7 linked regions of the Macaca mulatta genome follow. The protein of the gene in region 5 interacts with the protein of the main gene of each other region in a pairwise test. Links are inferred from orthologs where the notes say so. Each region holds a gene or a part of one and is shown on either strand. Other genes may lie near its edges. The genes, in order: SUV39H2, ZNF302, NKAPD1, TSGA10IP, CEP70, SYTL5 and ABT1.

Evidence for each region.
Region 1: the proteins of CEP70 (region 5) and SUV39H2 interact in a two-hybrid assay, tested with the Homo sapiens proteins (2 studies listed by BioGRID and IntAct). The link is inferred for Macaca mulatta from reciprocal best matches to the Homo sapiens genes CEP70 and SUV39H2.
Region 2: the proteins of CEP70 (region 5) and ZNF302 interact in binary tests that used the Homo sapiens proteins (3 or more experiments, as listed by UniProt). The two-hybrid records come from large-scale screens. The link is inferred for Macaca mulatta from reciprocal best matches to the Homo sapiens genes CEP70 and ZNF302.
Region 3: the proteins of CEP70 (region 5) and NKAPD1 interact in binary tests that used the Homo sapiens proteins (3 or more experiments, as listed by UniProt). The two-hybrid records come from large-scale screens. The link is inferred for Macaca mulatta from reciprocal best matches to the Homo sapiens genes CEP70 and NKAPD1.
Region 4: the proteins of CEP70 (region 5) and TSGA10IP interact in binary tests that used the Homo sapiens proteins (3 or more experiments, as listed by UniProt). The two-hybrid records come from large-scale screens. The link is inferred for Macaca mulatta from reciprocal best matches to the Homo sapiens genes CEP70 and TSGA10IP.
Region 6: the proteins of CEP70 (region 5) and SYTL5 interact in binary tests that used the Homo sapiens proteins (3 or more experiments, as listed by UniProt). The two-hybrid records come from large-scale screens. The link is inferred for Macaca mulatta from reciprocal best matches to the Homo sapiens genes CEP70 and SYTL5.
Region 7: the proteins of CEP70 (region 5) and ABT1 interact in a two-hybrid assay, tested with the Homo sapiens proteins (2 studies listed by BioGRID and IntAct). The two-hybrid records come from large-scale screens. The link is inferred for Macaca mulatta from reciprocal best matches to the Homo sapiens genes CEP70 and ABT1.

The regions. Positions count from the first base shown.
Region 1 is NC_133414.1:16,433,201-16,437,242, forward strand, and holds the start of SUV39H2 (histone-lysine N-methyltransferase SUV39H2), read left to right. Parts: upstream 1-1,242; 5' UTR 1,243-1,265; coding exon 1,266-1,296; exon of another isoform or gene 1,297-1,877; intron 1,878-3,870; coding exon 3,871-4,016; intron 4,017-4,042. UniProt on the Homo sapiens protein: Histone methyltransferase that specifically trimethylates 'Lys-9' of histone H3 using monomethylated H3 'Lys-9' as substrate.
Region 2 is NC_133424.1:45,961,454-45,964,346, forward strand, and holds the end of ZNF302 (zinc finger protein 302), read left to right. Parts: coding exon 1-450; 3' UTR 451-2,393; downstream 2,394-2,893. UniProt on the Homo sapiens protein: May be involved in transcriptional regulation.
Region 3 is NC_133419.1:112,827,625-112,831,848, forward strand, and holds the start of NKAPD1 (uncharacterized protein NKAPD1), read left to right. Parts: upstream 1-1,424; 5' UTR 1,425-1,697; exon of another isoform or gene 1,698-2,255; intron 2,256-2,903; 5' UTR 2,904-2,911; coding exon 2,912-2,980; intron 2,981-4,224. Other genes in the region: PIH1D2 (PIH1 domain-containing protein 2), read right to left, coding at 1-5.
Region 4 is NC_133419.1:8,459,784-8,462,621, reverse strand, and holds the end of TSGA10IP (testis-specific protein 10-interacting protein), read left to right. Parts: intron 1-1,279; coding exon 1,280-1,379; intron 1,380-1,525; coding exon 1,526-1,689; intron 1,690-2,188; coding exon 2,189-2,312; 3' UTR 2,313-2,338; downstream 2,339-2,838.
Region 5 is NC_133407.1:41,502,804-41,506,303, reverse strand, and holds part of CEP70 (centrosomal protein of 70 kDa), read left to right. Parts: intron 1-1,939; coding exon 1,940-2,086; intron 2,087-2,256; coding exon 2,257-2,425; intron 2,426-2,918; coding exon 2,919-3,033; intron 3,034-3,500.
Region 6 is NC_133426.1:37,962,794-37,966,293, forward strand, and holds part of SYTL5 (synaptotagmin-like protein 5), read left to right. Parts: intron 1-1,200; coding exon 1,201-1,409; intron 1,410-2,488; coding exon 2,489-2,631; 3' UTR 2,632-3,500. UniProt on the Homo sapiens protein: May act as Rab effector protein and play a role in vesicle trafficking. Binds phospholipids.
Region 7 is NC_133409.1:156,468,554-156,472,367, forward strand, and holds ABT1 (activator of basal transcription 1), read right to left. Parts: upstream 2,675-3,814; 5' UTR 2,668-2,674; coding exon 2,427-2,667; intron 1,744-2,426; coding exon 1,547-1,743; intron 1,394-1,546; coding exon 1,013-1,393; 3' UTR 501-1,012; downstream 1-500.

The sequences.
Region 1 (4,042 bases), on a different chromosome or scaffold from region 5:
TATATCAAGGTAGTGAGATGCTCATCGTAGAAAATGATTAAATATGTAAAAACGAGAAGTTAAAATCACTTCGAAAGGCTGTATTTCGTTATTTTCCTATACATTTTTTTCCTAGTTAAAACTATATTTCAGGGGGATTTGTTTTGTTTTTGCTTAACACTAAAAGCTTCATGAACATCTTTTTAAGACGGCTAGACAGTATTTCATAATGGAATCAAATAACCAGTCCTTTAATGGTCTGCGTTTAAGTCCTTAGTAGACATCAAATGGCTTTCTGCCAGTTTTCGTTATTTGCTCTAAGATTTCTGCTTTAGGTTGTTTAAAACAGTCATATGGATGCGGCGTCAAGAATGGCTGGGGGGAGGGGGTGGAGACCAGGTGGGAGGCCCCCGGAGTCGCCCTGCAGCCTCCTTACCAACAAGTCCTCTTCCTCCCGGCCCCCACCCGTCAGCAGGCCGAGCTCAGGAGCTTGTCAACAACACGGGAGGGGGGCTCGGGTCTCCTTACAGACCTACCCAGTCCCAATTTACATTAAAAGTTGAGCCCAGGAGGTCGAGACTGCAGTGAGCCGTAATCGCGCCACTGCACTTGAGCTTGGTGACAGAGTGAGACCCCATCTCTCAAAAAATTCCAAGTCCGCACCTCCCCCCCACGACGATTCGTAAACCCCTTTTAAGTGTGAGAAGCACTGATGGAGACTGGCGGTTTCAGCTGTGCCGCACATTAGGATCAGCTGGGAGCTGGGCAGCACAGGCCACACCCCACACCAACCAGTCGGAATCCCGGCGACTGCACCAAGCCAGCGGAACCTCTCCAGCCGTGCCCATGTGCGGCCGCTTCCGAGGCCCGGTGCTCTAGGGAAGTGGGGTCGGGGGGAGCCTAACCATGGCCCGCCGAGCTGCGGTGGCTGCGGAACCGGACCCGAAAGGCACCGTCCCTGGCCGACGTCCTCCCGAGTGAATGCGCCAAACGGGCCTGGCGCAGGGTATGGGCGCCGGACACCGCAGAGCATCCCAAAGCACGCGCGCGCGCTCGCTCCGCCCCGCTCGGCTCCTCGCTTTTGGGGCCGGGCCTACCCTTGGGGCGCAGGCGCGCTGACCGCCGCGGCGGGGGGTCGGCCGCCAGTGACGTCAGGACGCCGTGCGGGTTCCATCCCCCCTACAAGCCCCGGCCCCCAAGTCCCGCGCGGGCCGGCCAGGGGCGGGGCGTCGGGCCAGCTGAGCTATCCCGTCAGACCGCGCCAGTTTGAATGAAAGCTCCACAAGATGGCGGCGGTCGGGGCCGAGGCGCGAGGAGGTGAGGCTGGAGCGCGGCCCCCTCGCCCTCCCCGTTCCCAGGCAAGCTCCCAAGGCCCGGGCGGCGGGGCCGTCCCGCGGGCCAGCCAGACGGCGACGTGGCGGTTCCCCGGCCGCCGCGCCCCCGACTCCGGGACGCACGCTGCGGGCGCCTACCCTCCCCCAGGCCGCTGACCCGCCTCCCTGCCCGGCCGGCTCCCGCCGCGGAGGTGGGCACTGCGCGAGCCTGGGGCGCTTCGGCTGCGGAGCGTGGCCTCTCCGCCCGCTCGGCCCGGCCCCCTTGGCGTCTCCCGTGGTGGCTTCGGGGGTCGGGGCCGCTCCCCGGCGGTCCCCGGCTGGAGGTCCCGGGGGCCCGGCTGCGACTGGCTCCTTTGTGGTGGTTCGAGCGCGGCGTGCGGCATGCGCCCGGGCCTTTGAAGTGGGAGGCGGGAAGCGACGCCCGCCGGCGTGAACATGACCTTAATATCAGAGGGGGAGAGGAAATCGGGGCTCCTGTGTGCTAAGGGGATAACCGAGGAACCCCCCCCCCACAAGGCGGACACGCTAGGAGGTTGAGTGCCTCGTTGGAGAGTCGCCCAGAAAGTGGGTATTTGAGGTTGCAGCCTCTGGCTTACGGTAACTCTTCCACCCACCGGGAGCTTGGTGTTATTTCTGTGGACGCTGGGGAATTGGGCACCGAGCGTGCGTGGGTGTGGGCGTCGGGGGGTGTTGGTGTCGCGCACGCTTTGAGAGCCTGGAACTTTTCCGTGCGTTCTGGAATGTAAAGGTGTTTTCAAGCTCGCCTCCTCTCCACTTGGATTATGACCTCATTATCCCCGAGTTTTTCTTCCTTGGAGAATGTCAGGGGTTACTGTGAACTAAGCTAGCGGAAGGTGTTTGTGGTGGTCATGAACTATTTAATTTTGTCAGTGAAATATTTTTCTACATTACTGGAGACTTGAGAGATTGTCGTTTTGCTTTTTTTTAACCACGTGTTTGCAGTTTTTCATGTTCACTTTTTTTTTTCCTTTAAATTCTCGAAGAGCATTTCCTTTGCGGGTTGTGTTTTGAATCCTCAACTAGATAAAAATGTTTAGGAAAAGCACACAAACACACCTTGGGTAGATACTCAAGAGGAACCACCTTTATACGTGATCCCCTTAGTGAGGTCAGCTTAACACAAAACGTCCTCTAGTTTTTTTAGATGGAAGGGACTTACGGGGTCATTTCTCTCCTATCACTGTCCTACCCCCAAACGACCACTCCAAAGCAATCGGCCTCTTCCCCCACGTTTTCTGGAGGAAAATACCTTTCTCTTTACTGCTTTAGGATGGAGTCGTTTGCAGCCAGTGAGATGGTGGAAATTATGCTTAAGGGTTTCTGACAATGAAGTAGTCTCTGTGTGAGGTGGGGAGGATGAGGAAAGGGTGCAGGAAAAGTTATTGCTGCTAACAAGTGTTCTCCCTTTCCTGAAATTACCTCAAAACATAAAAGGTGATCGCAACTACCTTGGAGAGCTACCAAGTAAAGCTTGAGTTTACTGATAGATTTTGTTTGGTAACACCAGTTTTCTCCATTTTTTTCCAGTGAATGTGACAGCCAGACAGATTGAGACCTCACTAAAGTCACATAGCTCGGTGGCTGAGCGATGGGTAGGGCAGAGGACTTTTGATCCTGTCTAGTGCTTACCATGACACTAGCGCTAACACCAAGTTTGTTCCATTTTCCTAAACGTGTTTGTTAATTTACACTTTAAATTCAGTGTGGTAACATGCTACTTACAGAAATTTGAGGGTCAAATCTTCTGGAACACAATTAGTTTCTGGCTTCTGGAGGGTTGATGATAAGTATGTCTAATTTTCTTTGAGTTTAGTACATGGCTTATGTAAATTGAACACCGTTTTAAAAGTTTGGCTTTAAAAACAATACAGTCAATAAGTATTACAAAATATCAATATACTCTCCATTTTTTTAATAACTCGAGTTTATTCACCTTGGTGATAATATATTGCAGTATGGGTAAAATAATAAGTGGAATTAAAGCTTCATGCAACATTTCAAAGAGAAAACTAACATATGAGTTTGTAACGTAGAAATATATTTTTATTAGATTTCAGTTTTGTCCAGTTAAAAAAAAATGAGTTATGTGTTAACGAATTATAATGTTGTTTTAAAGTATATTTTAGATGTGTTTTTAAGAATAAGTGTCCTAGAGATTTACATTTTATTAAAATAGTGATTATAGTCTATGTAGAATACAATGAAAGTAAGAAACACTACCTCTGTTGACCTGCATCTGCATATAATTTTTAAAAAGCTTACAGACATGAAACATTTTCGAGTGACTTAATGGAAATCAACTGATGTCAGTTAAACATAGTGGAGTAGAAATCCATGAGAAAATCCAAGAACACCAATTTAACGAAATAGTTCCTTAATGTTTAACTTTTTCTTGAAGACGCATAATTGGTTTCTTGTCATAGGAATTTTTAGTCTAAAATTGCCAGTTGAAAGTTGGGGAATAGAGGGTTTTTCTCTTTTTTATTTTAATTGAATAGCTATTTCATTAGTAAAGAATTCTATTTTCTTATTGTAGCTTGGTGTGTGCCTTGCCTAGTTTCACTTGATACTCTTCAGGAATTATGTAGAAAAGAAAAGCTCACATGTAAATCGATTGGAATCACCAAAAGGAATCTAAACAATTATGAGGTGGAATACTTGTGTGACTACAAGGTAGTAAAGGTAAGGCAAATGTCTAGCCCCTTACA
Region 2 (2,893 bases), on a different chromosome or scaffold from region 5:
CATAGTGGAGAGAAACCTTACAAATGTGTTGAATGTGGGAAGGCCTTTAGCCATGGCTCATCACTTACTAACCATCAGAGCACTCACACTGGAGAGAAACCATACGAATGTATGAACTGTGGAAAGTCTTTTAGTCGTGTGTCCCTTCTCATTCAGCATCTAAGAATTCATACGCAAGAAAAACGCTATGAGTGTCGTATATGTGGAAAGGCCTTCATTCATAGTTCATCTCTCATTCATCATCAGAAAAGCCATACTGGAGAGAAACCTTATGAATGTAGAGAATGTGGGAAAGCTTTCTGCTGTAGCTCACACCTTACTCAACATCAAAGAATTCACAGTATAAAGAAAAAGTTTGAATGCAACAAATGTCTCAAAGTCTTTAGTAGCCTGTCATTTCTTGTTCAACATCAGAGTATTCATACTGAAGAAAATCCTTTTGAAGTTTAGAAATGCAGGAAATCCTTCAACCAGCTTGAATCACTGAATATGCATTTGAGAAATCACATTAGATTGAAACCCTATGAATGCAGTATATGTGGGAAAACCTTCAGTCATAGGTCATCCCTGCTTCAACATCACAGAATTCATACTGGAGAGAAACCTTATGAATGTATTAAATGTAGGAAGACCTTCAGCTGTAGTTCAAACCTTATTGAACTGCATCAATAAATTTCACTATAATCAGTTCATACAGAGTTTATACATCAGAATTCATACTGGAGAAAAGCCATATAAATGTAATGAGTGTGGAAAAGCTTTTAGCAAAGGCTCAAATCTTACTGCCCATCAAAGAGTACATAATGGAGAGAAACCCAGTAATATGGTAAGTGTGGAAAAGCCTTTAGATCATATGAATCACTGTACATGTGAGAAATCTTACAGAAGAGAAACTATTTGAAGCAGTGTTTATCATGGTAAACTTCATAGATCCTCCCTTATTTAACATCAGAAAAAATTTATACTGGGGAAAAGTTGTATGAATGTGGTGAATATGGGAGACTTTTAGCAATGATGCAGACATTTTTATTTATCAGAGTTTATACTGTAGAGAAATCATATGAAGTCAATAAATGTGGGAAAGCCTTTGTCAGTATTAATCCCTTAATTGACATAAGTATACTCACACTAGGAAAAAACTGTGTACATGTAGCAAATGTGGGAAAGACTATAGGCGATAGGAATCTCGTACAAACTCCTACAGGAAAAAAGTTGTATGAATGTGGAAAATTTAGAAATTGAAGGAATTCTTCAGTTCCAAGTGCATTCCTTATTCTACAGGAAATAAACTGGAGAGAAATCTCATCATATAAGAGATGTAGCAAAGTGTTCACTAAGAGTGTTTATCTTGCTAGACATCAGAAGATGAATGGTAGAGCAACCTGAAGGATTTAGAAATTACATGTAAATCTGCAGTGGTGCTATTTGTAAACAGGATTCTATAGGAGAGCAAATAAACATAATTAAGTATGCCTTTCTTAGAGCAGTAGCTTGCAGTTTCAGTTGGGTTCTACTTAGAAATTCTTTTTAGCTAGTGGGCATGTGAAGATATTTAGTCACCCAGAGGAGCCAGTAAATATTATAATGTTAAAAATTAAAGCTGCAAAAGAAATAAAATGGTGTTAATAAAAGTTTGGTATCTAATAAGATCATTTTGTATATCATGAAGTCTTTCTCTGTGACTGTTTCTGGCAAAAAAAATTCACTAAGATTAGCCTTAGTATAGTCTTTAGTGGGAGACTAGCAAACTTCGAGAAAAATGGCCTGCTCTTTATACTAAGAATAGCAGTATTTTGGTGAGGATTATTCAGAGTCCATTTCCAGTAGGCTTAATTAAATACATTTCAAAATTTACTGAGCATCACTCATGTGTATTACACAGGGATGGGATATAGGAATCTAGTAGTTCTGAGCTGTAGTGGTGTGTCAAAATCACTGGAAGGACTTGTTAAAGCACAGATTGCTAAGCCTCAATCCTAGAATTCTTGTATGAGTTGATTTGAATTTGCATTTTTCACACATTCTTAGGGGCCACTAACACTGTCCAGAATATAATTATAATGTTATGATGTCACTGACAACATATTATTTTCTCAGTCATACCTATTAACCATTCCTTGAGTATCTTCTGTGGACCTAATAGATAAGCACTTCATACTCTTTAAGAGCTCCGAGGTGTGTGTGTGTGTGTGTGTGTGTGTGTGTGTGTGTGTGTGAAGAGCGTTAAGCTTTGGAGTCTTGTTACCTGGGTTTAAATCCAAGTTGCATGTATACTGGCTTTGTGTGACCTTGGACCAACTTCTTCACTGTGTCATGCCTCAGTTTCTCCATCTGTAAAATGGTAATAAAGCTATTTCACAGCATTGTGAAAATTAAATGAGTTAATTGATGCACAATGTTTACAACAATGGCCTCTCAATAGCGTTCAATAAGTATTAGCTATTGATTTTATCTTCATCATATCCTCATGGTTGCTTCATCATTCTGGTCTCAGATGTCACATCTAATCACTTGTTGCTCTTATCTGTTTACTGTTTCACATTTTTGGGGGAGAGCTCTTACAAAACACCCCCGTTTCCTTCCAACAAATCCTTTAGTATCTGAGCCATTTTGAGGGAATGTTTCTTGCCTAAAATAACCTGAGGAGAAACAAAGAGACCAGGTAGGAGATAAGATGAGAATTCAACAAGTCTGTGAGAAGGAAGGAGGGTGCCCTACAGAGTTGGGAAATGGGCTGAGTGAAGGAGGCATCAGGCTTCCACATGGAGGAAAGGGGAGGTTTTACCCACTGAGACCAGAACACTACAGGTCTTCAGCAGCATCTGTGAGTACAGCGTCCCATGGACTAGGTGCCACTGCCTTCACTCTTCTGAATTGAAGTTACAGCCTGTCA
Region 3 (4,224 bases), on a different chromosome or scaffold from region 5:
TCCATGACTGATGAGTGGTGAATAATTTTCTTAAGCCTGTGGAAAGACATGACTTTGGGAAGAAAACTGTCTGTGTAATTTTTTTTTTTTTTTTTTTTTTTTTTTGAGACGGAGTCCCGCTCTGCCGCCCAGGCTGGAGTGCAGTGGCCGGATCTCAGCTCACTGCAAGCTCCGCCTCCCGGGTTTATGCCATTCTCCTGCCTCAGCCTCCCAAGTAGCTGGGACTACAGGCGCCCACCACCTCGCCCGGCTAGTTTTTTGTATTTTTCAGTAGAGACGGGGTTTCCCCGTGTTAGCCAGGATGGTCTGGATCTCCTGACCTTGTGATCCGCCCGTCTCGGCCTCCCAAAGTGCTGGGATTACAGGCTTGAGCCACCACGCCCGGCCCTGTGTAATTGTTGATTCATTTCTGCTTTGGGGAGGCGGAATGGGCCAGGAATTGTTTTGGTGAAGTTAGGACTTAGCATTTGTGTCTAAAAGATTGTGGATCAGCAGCACCACTTTATGTTTTCGTTATTCTTTAATTATCTAGTACCTCTTCCTAAATTCTCACATTGTCCTCTCAGATAAGACTTTACTTCTACTTGGACCCTGACAAGTCAGAGCAATCATTTTAAATCTGGGTTTCCTGATCTTCTTGTTCCAACACCTCACTGACTGGTGGCTCCCCAGTTCTGAAATTGCCAGAGGTGTGTATGGGGTGAGGGCCACATGAGACTTCCTTAATCCTCATTATAGTTTAGTAATTCAAAGCATGGACTTGCGAGCCAGAATGCCTAGATTCCGGTCTTAGTTCTATCTCTCACTAGCTGTATGACCTTGAGCAATTAATGTGTGTGTGTGTGTATATATATATATATACACACATACACATACATATACATATATATATATATATTCCTCTTACTCTGTTCAAAATGAAGACGATAATACCTATATTATCATAGGGTTATTGCGAGGATTAAGGAAGCTAATAGAGAGGCTGGGACACTTCTCTACGTCTTCAGATAACTCTCCTTAGCCTCTTCTCCCATTGGAGAGGTGTCCCACAGCATCTTTAGAATGAGGCAAAAAGGTTTAGATTCTTCAACTACTGTGTAAGGGTTACGCTAAATGGGAAGCTTAACTAACGGGTAATCATTCCATAGGTCTGCAAACAGCATCTTTAGAATGAGGCAAAAAGGTTTAGATTCTTCAACTACTGTGTAAGGGTTACGCTAAATGGGAAGCTTAACTAACGGGTAATCATTCCATAGGTCTGCAAACCCACCTCTTCTCTGTTCTAACGGGTAGTCATTCTATAGGCTGGCAAACCCACCTCTTCTCTCAGCTCCTTGACAAACCGCGACGCCTGTTACCAGGGTAACCAGCCTGGGTACAACATCTAATTGGGTCCGGGGAGTTTCAGGCTGAAAAGTCTCCTCATATCTAGTTCCGGAATGTCCCCCTTCTGGTACCAGGCTTGCTTTTCAGTTGGGCCCGATCCACTTCTCTTCCAGGAAAGCGCCCGCCTCCCTTCTGCACCCGTCAACCTCTGGAGTGTCCTGAAAACCCTCCCTTCTGGGAGTCTCTGGGCTGCCTGTTGGTGGGACTATTTCTCAGGAGCACCACTTCCGGCCTGAGAAGGAAGTCTCTTCCTTTTTCTCCCAAACCGCTTCTTCCCCCCTACCCCCCGCCACGCGAGGCAGCGGCGCACGGTATGGGTGTGTTTGTGTGTATTTGTGTGGGGAGGGCGTTTGGAGGGGAGGTTACCGGGAGCTCCGAGGCCGCTGGGGGACAGGGATCCCGGTGACAAAGATGGGGATATTTCCTCTGTCTTCCACTTGGAAACCTCAACCCCCGCTTCAGGCTCCCTAGATACTTCCTGGGGCCCAACCGAAGGCCATAGCCATCCAAAGCGTTCCCATCCTTTCTGGGGAGTGAAACTTACCCCCGGGGTTCGTCCCAGAGGAGCGTGAGGGGGGAATGCCCGGGTCAACCGGGCTGTCCGAATTCCGCGCCGGCTCAGTCTCCGGCCTCAGTCCGCGAGAGAGATCTGCCTGTCGATCTGGGCTGGGGGAAAGGCGGCAGTGGCCTGGGCCACAGGTGAGGGCAGATTAACCAGTGGGAAGGCTGCGTTTTCACGAAGGACTCGGGTGAAGCTGCAGAGCTGCCTTTGAGCCCTGACTCCTTGGCTTCCTGGGTCGGAGGAGATCTTGTAATGGAGTGGTTCTTCGTCTCACTAACAAGATGCCTGATTTCCTCAGGATCAAGGGGTGAGTGAGCGTTGGGGTGGTTGCACAAAGCCCGTGCTAGCTACACAAGAAAATATTCTTGTCATCTAGTTTTTGGAAGCTTCCGTACCAAGTAGGAAATAAAATGCTCCCAAATGGAGAAGTTTAGGACATCTTTGCATTTGATGTTTTGAGTCATCAGTTTCTGTTACTGTTGACACCTGTGGTTCCTGATACTCTCAAATCTACGTATTTGCTTCACTGCAAACTAATATTGGGATTGGAGGTTTGATTTTTAATCTAGACATTGATATACATCATTTGCCTGGGACTATGTGGCTTGGGGCATGACAAGTTTAAGGGAACTTCATCTACAAAATAGGGATGGAGATATTTGCCTCATATAAAAAATAGTTATGAGGATTAAATAAAATGGTGCTCATGAAAGCACTTAATTTTATGCAGTCTTGTGCATTTTCAAAGAACTTTAATGTACATTATCTCCTTTCATCTCACATTAGTGTGTTTAGGCATTTCCCTCTTTTAATGGTAAAGGGAAAACTATTATTTAGGATCTCTGACTTCTAGTTCAGTGATCTTTCCTTTACCTCATGCTTCTTTATAAAATTTAAGAAAAGATAAAGTAATAAAATAAATTATTACTAAACGTTATTTGTTGATTCATTTCAGATTGAAGAATGTCCCGGATTCCACTGGGGAAAGTTCTCCTGAGGAATGTCATCCGGCACACAGATGCTCACAATAAGGTGGGAGGTACAACCTAGTTACTCCTCAGTGCTTACTGAAAGTAAGCAGTGTGCCAAGCATTATTTTGGCACAACTGGGAGATACAAAGAATATTCTTGTCATCTAGTCTTTGAAAGCTTTTGTACAAAGTAGGAAATAAAATGATGAATACAATAGATAATTATAATACAGTTTGATATGTACTGTATAACAGAGATATTTGCAAAGCGCTTTGGAGCACTAAGGAGGAAATAATAAAATCTACCCCGGGGAATTAGAAAAGATTTTACAGAATTAGTGGTATTTGAGCTGCTGACATTTAAACTGGTTCTTGAATAAGTATAAGCTTACTAGGTATGAAAGATCATTCTGGATAGAGAGCATCATGCATTAATATGGCAACAAAAAAGAGCATTAATCACTCAGGGCATGGCAAGAAATTTTCCAGAAAGCGGGGAATGAAGGGATAGGCGCAGAAGATAAGGCCTCAGTGGTCATTAGAGTTGGATTGTGATGTTTGGAACTGAGACTTTTTCCTCTAGGCAGTAAAGAAGCCATCAAATGTTTTTAAACAGGATGTGACATGATCATAGTTATATTTTAGAAAGATGGTTTGTCAGATGGGTGGGGAATGAATCAGATGGGGAGAAACAGTAGGGAGATTAATTAGGAGGCAATTGCAGTATTACAGGTGAGAGGTGATGAGGGTTCGCGTGAAATTAGTGACAGCAGGGATAAAGAAGAGGAATTTAGGAGATAGAGTCCAAAGAACTTGGTGGCTAATTAGATGATAATGATAAGAATGGAATCTAATTCAGTTGACCCTTGAACAATGCAGGGGTTAGGGGCATCAACCCCCTGAATAGTCGAAAATCCATGTATAACTTTTTACTCCCTCAAAACTTAAGTGCCAATAGCCTGCTACTGACTGAAAGCCATAGCAATACCATAAACAGTGGATTAACACATATTTTTTATGTTACATGTATTATATACTGTATTCTTATAGTAAAGTAGCTAGAGAAAAGAACATTTTATTAAGAAAATCACATTGAGTAGGCTGAGGAGGAAGAAGAGGGGCTTGTTTTGCTATCTCACAGGTGGCAGAGGTGGAAGCAAATCTGAGGATAAGTGGACCTGCACAGTTGAGATCCCTGTTGTTCAAGGTCAACTGTGTAACCACCTATGTGACTGGGTGGGTGATGATGATTCTGTTAATTGGGTTAAAGAACAAAAAAGGGGACAATTATGATAGGAAAGGTAA
Region 4 (2,838 bases), on a different chromosome or scaffold from region 5:
GGGTTTTCAAATCCGTGTCTTTTTCTCAATGGAGGAGGGTTCCCTCCCTGGCTGGCACAGGGCCAAGGGGCATGGCCCAGCAAGGCTGTGTTTTTCCACAGGGCCCAGCACACTCGCTGAGGTCCCAGCACAGGTCTTGGGGTCTTGTCTGTGTCTCCCCTCCCTTCCTGTCCATGGGTGCTGCCTCCACACCTCAAGGCCTCTCTTAATGTGCTTCACAGATGGATGCCTGGTCCCATGTGGGCTGTGGCCCAAAGGCCCTTCTTGCTGCTAGGGTGCTCTCTTCAGGAGTGGCAGTGACACTCAAGTCTGTCAAGCAGACACATTTATGACAAGTGCACAAACTGGGTTTTGGGTTTTTTGAGACAGGGTCTCCGCTCTGTTGCCCAGGCTGGAGTGCGGTGGCACAATCTCAGCTCTCTGTAGCCTAGACCTCCCAGGCTCAAGCGATCCTCCCACCTTGGCCTCCCAACTAGCTAGGACTACAGGGGCACACCACCACGCCTGGCTGATTTTTGTAGAGACAGGATTTCACCATGTTGCCCAGGCTGGTCTCAAACTCTTGGGCTCAAGTGATCCACCCTCTTTGGCCTTCCAAAGCGCTGGCATGGCAGGTGCGAGCTGCCACGCCTGGCCATGCTGGGTTTTTAGAAATGAAAACTGTGCTTCCCCAGTGGAACCCTGATCTCTCCAGGGTGTGTTTTTTAAATTTGAAATATATATATATTTTTTAGTTTCTCTGTCCCATTTTCCAAGCTGTCTGCTTATAAGAACCAGAGAGAATGCTGGCAAGCTTGTCCGATCCCTGCTATATAGCACAGTGAAATAAACTGAGCCCAGAGCCAAGAGCCCAGAGAGAGGCCTCGCCCAAAGTCACACAACCAACAACCACAGCTCCCCCTCAAGGGGAAGAGGATGGGGAGGGAAGGCTATGTAAGCAGGTGTCTGGAAGCTCAGAAGCTAGCACTGGTCCCTTTCCCGTGGGGGTGGCACAGGAAGATTGGCAAGCCCCAGCTACACAGGGCTCGGCCCCTCACTTCCTAGCTGCACAACTTTGAACAAGTCCCTCAACCCTCCTGAGCCATCAGTAAACTGGGTGAATAATTTCCACCCTGGCTGACTTCACAAGCAATCCAGGCCAGAATGGGAATGAAATAGCTTTGTAAAGGTGAGGGTGAGGACGTGAATATCAAATCTTTAGTGAAGATGAGCCGGCTCAGGAGTGGAGATCAACAGTTGTGTCCATGGTTAGCTGCACAAAGGCCTGTCTCCCCTGCAGGCGCCAGGAGCGACAACGCTTTGCTGAGTACCAAGCGGAGCTGCAAGGCATCCAGCACAGGGTGCAGGCCCGGCCCTTCCTGTTCCAGCAGGCCATGCAGGTGAGGCTGCCCCCTGTGAAGAACTGGCTGAGTGGGTCAGGGAAGCAGGATGCGAGTAGGTCCCTGCAGATAGGATCCCAGGGCTGCTGCCCTCTGGAATCCCTGGGACTCCCTCAGTAAGCAGAGCCCCACCTCGCCCTTGGCAGCCCTGGTGCAGAGCGAGAAGCCCTCTTCTCTCTCCTCAGGCCAATGCCCGGCTCACTGTCACTCGGCGCTTCTCCCAGGTGCTGTCAGCACTGGGGCTGGATGAAGAGCAGCTGCTGTCCGAGGCAGGAAAGGTGGACAGAGAAGGCACCCCCAGGAAACCCAGGTGAGTCTCCCCAGCAGGTCAAGAACTGGCCCTGCCATGCTGCTGTGGGAAGGGCGCCCACACCAGCACTCTGGGCTCTGGAGGGCCTCCCCCAGGACTGGCAGAGAGCCCGAGGAAGGCAAGGCCAGGGTTGTCATTCCTACTTCTCAACGAGGAAACTAAGGACCTGAGGGGCAGGGCCATGTTTAAGGACACAGGAGCGAACAAGCAGCAGAGCCAGTCTGGGACTCTGCAACCACATGAGCAGCCACACACCAAGCTCTCATTAGGGGCTGGCACCACCACGCTGGTCACCCCATGTCTTAGAATAACCTGGTACAGAGCAGGGATTATGAGGCCCACTTGGCAATAAGGAAAGTGAGACTCGAGAAGAGTCACTTTGCTCAGGATCACACAGCAAGCCAGTACAGGAGCAGGGTTTGAAGCCACATTGTCAGTGGTTTCCTTGGGCATGGGGGTGAGAACTGCAGAGCCAGGGGCCTCTATCTGTGTCTTGAAGGAGCCACAGGTCAATGGGGGTGAGAATGGAGCACTCTCCTCAGAGGCCCCCAAGGACAGAACCCACCGGCAGCCAGCCTGACAGGCACTACAAGCCCAGCCTGGACCCGGAGTGCAGTTTCTGAGATAAAATTAAAGGCTTTATGGTAAACACAGTGTGGGATTTCTGCTGGTGGGGGTGGTGGAGGCTACGGGTTGGAAGTGGGAGGTGGCAGGTGGGCGGGCAGCTCTGTCCCCGCACTCCCTCCCCTCCAGGAGCTCTGGCTCTTTTGGTTCCCTCCACCCAGCACACACAGCCCCTTCTCTGCTCCTGAGGAGTGGGGACATCTCAAAGAGCAAGAGCTGTAACTTCTCCACCCCATCTTCAATGTATATGTTGGGTCCTATAAATTCAAGCGTCAATAAGACGGAATGACTCCTGCCTCTGAGGATGCCCAGTGAGTGGGAGAGGGCGTGGGCCCTTAAACGGGTGCATACATATCCCAACCCACGCTCACATCCCAACACACGCTTATATCCTAACACATACTCATATCCCAACACACGCTCACATCCTAACACATGTTGAGTTGTGCAAGGCAGGGAGCCACAGACTGAGCAACCCTTGGGTGAGGGGAGGGGTTTCAGGACCGATTGGGATTGTGCGCACTG
Region 5 (3,500 bases):
CTTCTACATCTCCACAACTGGGCAATGTAAAGAACCTAGGAGACTCTTATATTTTTCAGAGCTTACTTGATAGACTGTGCTACAACCATCCTGTCACTGCTTAGGAGACCAGAACATCTTTTCTTCTTAGCTTTGTAATACTCTTTTATTCTGAAGCAAAAATGTATTAGATTGGGTGTGCTTTTTACCATAGATTACTTTATAAATGTGCCTTGTTGCTGGAGCATTGGTTAATAAAGATATCATTATGCTGTTATTTGCTGACTTTTTTTTTTTTTCAAATTCTAGTGGCACTGATGGTAAAACATTCATTTAACATGAAATTTATTGCTATGAATTACTATAATAGTAACTGCCTTCCTACCAATTGAAAGGTTAAAGATACCAATATGTGAAGTCTGAGCCTTAAGTGGAGAATGCCAAGTGAAGTACTAAAATAAGTTAGAAAAAGAAGGAACTTCTTGTACTTCTTTCTGTTCTCTAGAGCTATGCTATCTAGTATGGTAGCCTCTAGCTGCATGTGGTTATTGATCACTTGAAAGGTGGCTAGTCCTGATTGAGATGCGTTATAAGTGTAAAATATACACTGGATTTAAAAGACTTTGTATGGAAAAAATTAAAATATTGCTTTTATATTGAAATGATAATATTTTGGATATATTGGGTTAAATAAAATATACTATTACAGTTAATATCACATGTTTCTTTTCACTTTCCATACTATGGCCCTAGACAACTTAAAATTCCTGTGGCTCACATTACATTTCTTTTGAACAGCATTGTTCTGAAGGACCAAGCACTGTGCCATACACATATGGATTGAGTATCCCTTATCCACAATGCTTGGGCCTAGAAGTGTTTTAAGAATTTTTTCAGACTTTGGAGTATTTGCAGAATATATGCCATTTGAGCATCCCTGATCCAAAAATCCGAAATTCAAAACGCTCGAATGAGCATTTCTTTTGAGTGTCATGTTGTTGCTCAAAGTTTCAGATTTTAGAGCATTTCAGATTTTTAGATTAGGGATTCTCAACCTGTAGTAGATGTTCAGTAAATATTTGTCAGTTGATCAGTTTAGAGCTCTAAACTTTCAGTAGCCTTGCCCATTGTGCACAGTTTAAAATCAATTAGGGCACCACAACTAGGCCAAGAAAACTGAGTATTATAATGTAGAATAAATTTGGGGAACCTTTCACATTGAAAACTTGCCTAGAGATACATGTTATAACATGGATAAATCTCAAAAACATTATGCTAAGTGAGAGAAGCCATTCATCAAAGACTACTTATTGTATAATTCCATTTATGCAAAATGCCCAGAATAGGCAAATCCTTAGAAATATAATGTAGTTTAGAGATCAACCCTAGGAACTGCAGGGAAGGGAAAATGGGGAAGGAGGGACTGTGACTGGGTCTGAGATTTCTTTTTGGAGTAATGGATATGTTCTGAAATTAGATAGTGCTGATGTTTGTACATGTGTGAAAATATTAAAACTACTGAATTGTATACTTAATGAGGGTAAATTTTATGGTATATGAATTACATCTCAATAAAGCTGTTATATAACATACTCAAAACCAAAATACAAAGGCAAGTTTATTCTTTGTGTATCAATAATTCAAAATAATGAAATAATATGGAACAATAATAAATAACATAAAATTACTTAGAGCACCCAGATTCAGAATAATCAGTGTATAATGTTTTCTGTAAAGCCTGTGTTTACCTGGAGAAACCTAATTTTAACTGACTTGTTCTAAATTGGTAATAGTGTTTTTATTAAACAATACTGATGGTTATATATATATAATTTAACCTGTGTAATTTTTTATTAATTTTATAAAACATATATAAAACTTATAATTTTGTTATGTTCTATTATGTTACTATTGAAATTATTTAAATCAATAATACCATATAGTTTCTTTTGTTATAAAGGATTTGTATAAGTCCTTGAAAACACTATCTGCAGAACTGGTACCTTGGCATAATTTGAAGAAGCAGGATGAAAATGAAGGTATCAAAGTTGAAGATTTGTTGTTTATAGTAGATACTATGTTGGAAGAAGTTGAAAATAAGGAAAAGGTAATACTTACATAAATGGTCACATTCTAATGTTCTCTTATCTCAAAAATTGATAATTTGATGTGGATATTAATATTTGTTCTACTAGAGTTCTGTTTGTCTTTTAAAAGTTTTTATTTGGGATTATTTTAAGATATGAACTCTTTATTTTTTACCTCTCTTTTGGACAGGACAGCAATATGCCAAACTTTCAAACTTTGCAAGCTATTGTCTCTCACTTCCAAAAGTTATTTGATGTGCCTTCTTTAAATGGAGTCTATCCCCGAATGAATGAAGTTTATACTAGGCTTGGAGAAATGAACAATGCTGTGAGAAACCTCCAAGAACTCTTAGAATTAGGTGATGACCTAGTTTGTCATTTTTGGCCCCCATTTAAGAATTTTTAGTAAATTAACAAAAAGTAGATAATTTTTTTTTTTTTTTTTTTTTTTTTTTTTTGATACGGAGTTTCACTCTTTTTGCCCAGGCTGGAGTGCAATGGCATAATCTCGGCTCACCGCAACCTCCGCCTCCCGGGTTCAAGCGATTCTCCTGCCTCAGCCTCCCGAGTAGCTAGGATTACAGGCACATGCCACCATGCCTGGCTAATTTTGTATTTTTAGTAGAGACGGGGTTTCTCCGTGTTGGTCAGGCTGGTCTTGAACTCCCGACCTCAGGTGATCCACCCATCTCAGCCTCGCAAAGTGCTGGGATTACAGGCGTGAGCCACCGCACCTGGCCGATAAAAAAATTTTTAAGTGAAAAAAATTGAGGATAACTGAAGCATAAAATGTTTGATGTATGTAATTTTGAAAATTCTCTGTTAAAATAGCCTTTTATTTCTCTTTTGCAGATAGTTCATCTTCATTGTGTGTGCTGGTAAGCACTGTTGGAAAACTCTGTAGGCTGATTAATGAAGATGTGAATGAGCAGATTATGCAGGTATTAGGACCTGAAGACCTCCAGAGGTATTTGTTTTAAAAGTTTACAAAGTATCATCCAGAATGGCCGGGCGTGGTGGCACACGCCTGTAGTCCCAGCGACTTGGGAGGCTGATGTGGGAGGATCACTTGAGCCCAGGAGTTTAAGTCCAGTCTGAGCAATGCAGTGAGACCCTGTCTCTAAACAATAAAAATAAAAATAAATATTATCCAGAATTCATGGAGGGGTGAAATTAAAGACTTTTAAAACTTATTTACCTTCCCTGTTTGGAATAGCATCTTTTCTGTGTGTATGTGACTATAGGCACACACCACCACGCCCAGCTAATTTGTGTGTGTGTGTGTGTGTGTGTGTGTATAGAGAGAGAGAGACAAGGTTGCACCATGTTGCCCAGACCAGTCTCAAACTCCTGGGCTCAAGTGATCCACCTGCCTTGGCCTCCCAAAGTGCTGGGATTACAGGTGTGAGCTACCGTGCCCAGCCTTGGAATAGC
Region 6 (3,500 bases), on a different chromosome or scaffold from region 5:
AAGTGACTGAATGTATCTTCTTTATTGTAAAGTCATTTGTTTGTAGCACTTTTCATTTTTGTTCCATGTACTAATTCCATATGTACGTATGTCTTCTTTTCTAAAGTATGCTCCCTGAAGGGGGAAAACAGCCATTTTTATCACATACCTAGAGCCTCATACAGTGTTTTGACCATAGTCGAGAAAACCTAGGATACAGGTGTTTTATTTGAAGAGATTTCAGGAAACGCCAGTGAGGAAGTGGAGAAAATGAGACAAGGAAGAAAGAGAAGTTGATTAAAACATATATTAATGGGCAGGTTACCACTGTGGGCAACTGCAACTTGATTCCATTGGGGAAGCAGTGAGGAACTCTGTGGAATATACCTTAGGATTGTCACTTCGAGGGACAGGGAAGCTGGGGAATTATCCACCAATTTCTCAAACTCATCAGTTAAAGGTTGCCCCAGGGGCATTAAATTCCAAGTAATCCCAGAGTTTCCTGCACATGAGCTGAGCCAGCTAACACAATATCAGATAAATTCCTTAATTAGAGGAATTTATTCCTTGTGTCAAAAGACACAAGCACTTGAGGTAGGAAGCTGAAAGCATATCAGGAACTTCCCATCCTGCTGCAAGTCAGCTCCAAGGAGGGCCAAAAAGATGTGAAGCAGGTGGCCGGGCGCGGTGGCTCAAGCCTGTAATCCCAGCACTTTGGGAGGCCGAGACGGGCGGATCACGAGGTCAGGAGATCGAGACCATCCTGGCTAACACAATGAAACCCCGTCTCCACTAAAAATACAAAAAAATTAGCCGGGCGTGGTGGCGGCGCCTGTAGTCCCAGCTACTCGGGAGGCAGAGGCAGGAGAATGGCGGGAACCGGGGAGGCGGAGCTTGCAGTGAGCCGAGATCGCGCCACTGCACTCCAGCCTGGGCGACAGAGCGAGACTCCGCCTCAAAAAAAAAAAAAAAAAAAAGATGTGAAGCAGGGCATACAATAGTGTCTATTGCAGGAGGTATTTTCTTTTCAAGATGGAAGGAAGTACGAAAATAGGATTAGAAAGGAGAATGAGGGCATTAAAGTCATTCCACTATATAAATCCAGATTTAAGCATATAGAAGCCTGGGAAGAAAAATCAGATAGACACATCACACTTGCGTGCACATTGACATTTTCTGTCTGCTGTCTTACTGATGGTTTGATTGTTTTTCCTCCTGCAGCTACCTGCTCCCTGATGATAGCAAAGCCACCAAGCACAAAACTCTGGTAATAAAAAAGAGTGTTAACCCTCAGTGGAATCATACATTCATGTTCAGTGGCATCCATCCCCAGGATATAAAGAATGTTTGCCTAGAACTTACCATCTGGGACAAGGAGGCCTTTTCCAGCAACATTTTTCTGGGAGGAGTTCGTTTGAATTCTGGAAGTGGTGAGGGATTTGGGGACCCACAGGGATGGTCTGTGACTGGGTCCGTTTGGGGGCACTATTCTTGCAGGTGTGATGTGCAGTGGATATACATACGTAGTTTCAGCTAAATCCTGAAATTACCACAAATGCTTCATTCCTTTAGCTAAGGATCTATTCATTGTTAAAATACAAATATAACTACAGTACCTTTGTATCCTTAGGCTAGAAGATTGGAAGATATAATGTTGACATTCAGTCCTTTCATAGACTAACATTTACACTTTAGTCTAAGTGAATTTTAAGTACTTTCTTGGACCTTGCTTCAGATTTTGCTCAGAAGATGATTACCAAGACAGCACAGCCTTCTGATAGGAGGACAGCGACTTTCAAGACCAACATTACTTCATCATCTTCTCAGTTCTGTCCAGCACTTGCAGCTATTATTCATACTGGTTGAATTGAAAAGAAATCATTTTTTCATAAAAATAACACCAATGTTGTTAAAAACAGATCAAGGAAACCCACCACTGGTGCCACAAGACACAACTGTAACAGGGTGAATTGGAAAAGGGATTACAGTAGTAGAGCACGTGCAGTCCCCCTAACTCTCATTATCCCATAGCCTAAGCCAGACATAGATGAGACCATCTGCATACACCATGGTAAATATTTCTGTTGAGGAAGGTCCTATCACTATGATAATTACTTATTTATAGATTAAGGGGAGCCAAGAATATCTATACCACTAAAAGGAAAACTCCCCAGGTCAGAAAAGTGTCCTTGTTAGAAAAAGAGAGTCAAATTCATCCCGTTCTTCTGTCATGTTAGCACAGTCCAGATGAACCAGCTCTCTGCTAAAGTAGGGAGGAAGTGAGTCACCAGGGCCACCCTGATTTGCCTCATATGGCCTAGGCATTAGAGAATAGTGCAGGCTGCAAATGATTGATTCAATTCTAACACCACTCACTATATATACTAAGTGAGAACAAGCCAGTAAAAGGTACTCTGGTCAAAAGGCCCCCTCAGAAGTTGATAGATGCCTTGCAGGAGAGAAAAACATTTCATGTGTGACATATAATGTTCCCATTTCGTTTCTTCAGGTGTGAGCCATGGGAAGAACGTGGATTGGATGGACTCTCAGGGGGAAGAGCAGCGCCTTTGGCAGAAGATGGCCAACAACCCTGGAACTCCTTTTGAGGGTGTACTCATGCTTCGTTCCAGCATGGGAAAGTGTAGACTCTAGAGGGACCAGTTCTCCAAGAATGAGGCCACCAGGGCCTATCTGGCTGTCTTTTCCTACCAGTAGCAAACTGAGACCTGGGATTCTGCTTCCCTGCCATTTCTCATCTGACAGTATCGGGACATGAAGGGAGAGATGTCAGTAGTATGAACATTTAGGGTCTTGTTGAGTGCCTAAAAAACATATATTTTCTTCCAATCAGGGCCTTCTTGATTGGATGATAGAAAGTGTACTACTCTGTCCTGTCAACGAGCAAATTGTGCAAAGGTTTATAGGGTTTATACCATAAAAGAAATGGCACAAGCTCATTTGAAACGACAATTGAGATTGGGGTCCTCCATTTGCTAATTATAAGTTACTTTAGATTTTCTCAAATCCTTTGAAGAGAAAGGGGACCACTGAGAAGGTAGATCACTTGAAAAGTTAGAAGAAATGATACTGGCCAACTGTTGCTCACCCTAGGAATCCACATGCTCTCAAGAAGGCATTGTGGGGATGGTTGCTTGAGCAAGGGGGTTGTCCTGTTATTGCAGCAAACTTGTGTATTAACCAAGTAGTATTTCAAGATGGACTGACAGGGCTTTCTATGATTACTATATAATTTATCATCTAAATCAGTTTATTTTTGAGAACAAAGAGACCTAAATAACTACATCAGAACAATTGATGTTGATTAGAATTGACCTGGGAAAATTGGGATGTAGGGTTACCCTACTGATGACCTAAGAGAGCTCTGTTGTAAACATTTATTTTATAAAATGTTCTAAGCCATTAACTAAAGGGGAATGAGAAATAATGGTCAATTGATGTACCTTTTCACATTGTGTTCATTGATGAGACTAGTTTAATGAAAAAGGAGGTACTCTACCTGC
Region 7 (3,814 bases), on a different chromosome or scaffold from region 5:
ACTCAACACTCCACCCAGGAAGCATTGTTTGCAATTGTGGGAGCACTCCAGACTCTTTCAAACTTCTTCTTTATTATTCTTACAGTTATTTTGTAGGAATGACCTGGAAAACTTGGTGAGGACTGACTCACCACTGAAGACTGTGATCATCAATCACGTCCCCCTTGAGAGGGGCTCTATGACATGCTGTGGCCCCCATTCCACCCCGTATATGCATCTACCACGATGCCTATCTTATACTAGTGGCCTGTAAAACTCTTAATACTAAGATGTGTTATTACCTATTGTCATTGTTTCCTCAAACAATGGCTTAGAAAATGCTGACTTAAGATAACTAATTGATAAACTGGGCTAAGATAATAGAAATTAAATAAAAAAAAAATCCAGGTTAAACAGTAAGGTGGGTGGCGGGGGCGGGGGGGCTCTAAGATCAGGAGATGAAGGTGAACACAAGGAGATGAAAGCTGGAACTTGTCCAATGACCCTCCCCAACAAAAATAAAAAGGCATAAAAAATATTTTTATTTTCTATAAATACATTAGGAAATGTATTTCTTCCCAACTCAGTCCACGCCATTAACTGTCAATTTTTTCTACATAAAAAAGATGCTAATACCACCCTCACCTGTGACTGCTAAACAGAGAAAGATTGCCGGGATTATTGCAGGCATTATCCCCCTAGTTGGAAATAAAGGCCCGTTCCTGGGGGCAGAACGTGGGATTTTTAGGGGACCCTATAGACGTAGGCAGCCAAGAGTCAAACAAAACAAGCATATGCAATAGTCATAATCATGCTAGTATGACAGTATGAACTAGGTGACTCAGCCAGGCATATACAGGAGTTCGGAGTGAGGATAGTGGAAGCCCTCAAAACTTGCACGTTTGGGCCCTTAGCAGAGACACCTGGTCTGAGAAACACAGTAAAATGTTTGCCTGGATAGTCACGATCATTCTAGTATGAGGTAGACAGGAAGCAGAGCAGGGCTAGGAGCTGGAAGGGGCCACCCTGGCCCTCAGGAGTCCCTGACAAGGGAAGGTCCCTCCATGCTCTCTGAGGGTGGTGGGGCTCCAAAGATCCTGGCCAGGAGCCCTTTGTTGGAGCGGGCCTTGTCCTGGGCAGTCGCCAGGCGAGCCCGTTCACGACCCCCTGGCCGTGCTGCTTTCCGGGCCCTCAGTTCCTGCTCAGTAGGACGTTGCGCAAATGTCCAGGAGCCATCTGGGCGAGCAGGGTCCCCATCGGCCGCAAGAAAGCGTTGTCCCCGTTCCACACTTTGAAGATAGAAGTCGGTCTCACGCTTGGCCTGAGCAACCTCCGCTCTCAGGCGCTGCCTGCGCACCTGGCGCTCAAAGGCAAGGTGCTCACTGAGGTGGGACCAGGTGAAACGGTGCAAGTACTGTGGGCAGAAAATAAGAAAAGATCAGGATAGTGCAGATTAGGGAGAAAGATGAGACAGGGGACAAGACCAATGAGAAGCCATGGGTATACCTGGGCCAGAGCTGGGGAGAAGGGAGGGTGAGAGGTGTGGCAGAAAGATCTATCTCCTCACCTTGAGGTTCCAAAGATCATAACGGAAGGGGCTGCGCCTGCGGGCACCCATAGGCGTGTTGTGTAGACTGGCCGCCACGCGCTTGGCTATGCGCTTGTCACGGAACTCCACCCATCCCTCGGTGTAGTCCTTGCTGTAGGACCGCTTTTTTCCTCCCGCAGCTGCTGCTGCTTTCTTCTTGCGTCTCACGAACCGATCTGAGCGCCAAAGACAAAAAGACCCGTCAGGGACTATGCAGCACTCACTCAAAACCACTTCCCATTGCCCGCATCGTTCTTCACATCTGCCAGCGGGAGTTCCACCTGAGAGTTTTTGCCCAGGAGGGAGGGAACTGTAAATTGCACCCTTTCCTCTAGCTAACTCAATTATTTCCTTAATTGTCCACTCCTTAATCTGGCCGGCTTTGAACGCTATTTAACACCCGCGCAAGTCCCCAACCTCAATGTAAAATTGACGGTGGAAAGAGGAAGGGCGGTTGATCAGTTTCTTGACCTAGGCCGCGATGCTAAAGGGGTATGTTCAGTTTTGTAGAAAAGCTAACGAGGCTTTTACTCTGTTGTACTCATGTAACAAACCAGTAAACAGATCCGGAAAGAGAGGTGAGCAGGGCCGGGATAAAAACACGAATAGTAACAATCCGAGAACTAAAGAACCACCAGACGCACTGCGCTACCCACTCTCCCCATATCCCCTCCGCCCACCCACCCCAGCATCCTCACAGACTGATTCACCAGCCAGGAGCCGAGCACCGCACTCCCCACCCCCAAAATCCAACAACTCGTGCCTCAGTCTTGCGCAGCGAAGCAACAGGACATCCATGCTTGCACCCCGCCAGCGAGCGACAACCTCCTCCTTTCACCGTCAGGGTCTGCATACTTACCCTCAGCCTGAAAGAAGACGCGTCCGACCTCGCCATAGGCGCTGAGAAGGTTACGGACGTGCAGAGGACGGAAGCGCGGCGGGATATGGCCCAGGTACACAATACCTGGCACTACCCGCTTATTGCGGCCACAGGCCGCTGCTTCGGATTCCTCCTGCTCCTCCTCCGCGTCTAGTGTCTGTTCTGTCCCTTTCAGCGGCTCGTGCTCCGTTGCGGCCTTCTCCGATTCCTCTGCCTCCATGTTGACTGACATGAGCGGCACGACGGCCGTAAAGTGCCTTGCCTACTGACGCAAAACGTGTGCGACGGCCTGAGACGAGGGGGCGGGGCCAAGGCGGTGATGACAAATGAAAGGATATGATTGGCGATGCAGTCGGGTCAAGGGGAAGGCCGAGGGGAGAGGGCGGAAGTGGGGTGTCAGGTGGAAAGCCAGATTTAGAGCGTGGAAGCGGGATAGGAAGCTTGTTTTAGGTTCACAGATTCCCTGTTACATCTCCAACTCAGGACAGGCAGAACCAGAAAAGGCAGATCCCCAGATACAACCTACCCTATAGAACGCCGCTAAAGGCGGGTTGATGCCGGGTTTTTAGGGAATTTTGTAGAGCAGTTTTAGGGAAGTTTCTGTGTGTTCTAGCGATCAAAATAGCATTTTATTCGAGGGCCCTGGTTGCGATTCCAGCTGAGGAATGACTCACCTTTTAAAGTTTATACATTTCATTTAAAAGATTTGAGTTTTGAAGTTTTAATTATTTCTGGAAATTTACCTTGGAATTTTGAATATTTTAAAATTTAATTTTGAAAACGGTTAATTTTGGAAATTAGATTTAATTTTTGAAAATTTAAATTGCGAACTTTCAGTTTAATATTTTACATTTGATTTTGTGAATGTCTGAAAATTTAAATGTGTGACAATTATTTGAATAATTTGTTTGGCATCTATTACACATGTGTATTGATACATTATCCATATGCATACTTACGTTGCAAATACTTGTCAGAGGCGCACACGCCTCCAATTCTGGCGACCCCCCCGGCGGTGCGCTTAGTTCTGCCCTCCCTGGGTCTGTCCTCACAGATTCCCCATCAGATCACAAACCAATTTTCCTTCTATGACCTACGTAACCACAGAACGGACAAGGCCCCGGCGGTCCTGCTCCTACCAGGCGACCTGCGAACCATCCCTAAGCCAAGCCCATAGCCGTTTTCCCCGCGCGGGCTCGAGTCCTCAATCTCTTACCGTCGCCCGAGGGCGCGACCAGCAGGGGGCGCCGTCCCCACCCTTAAGGCGTTTCAGTTCTTGCGATCCGCGCCAGCGACAAGCTGACTGCAAAGGATATTGCTGGGAACCGAGTACAAATAATCCGATTAGCTTTCTGGAAGCAGCCCGG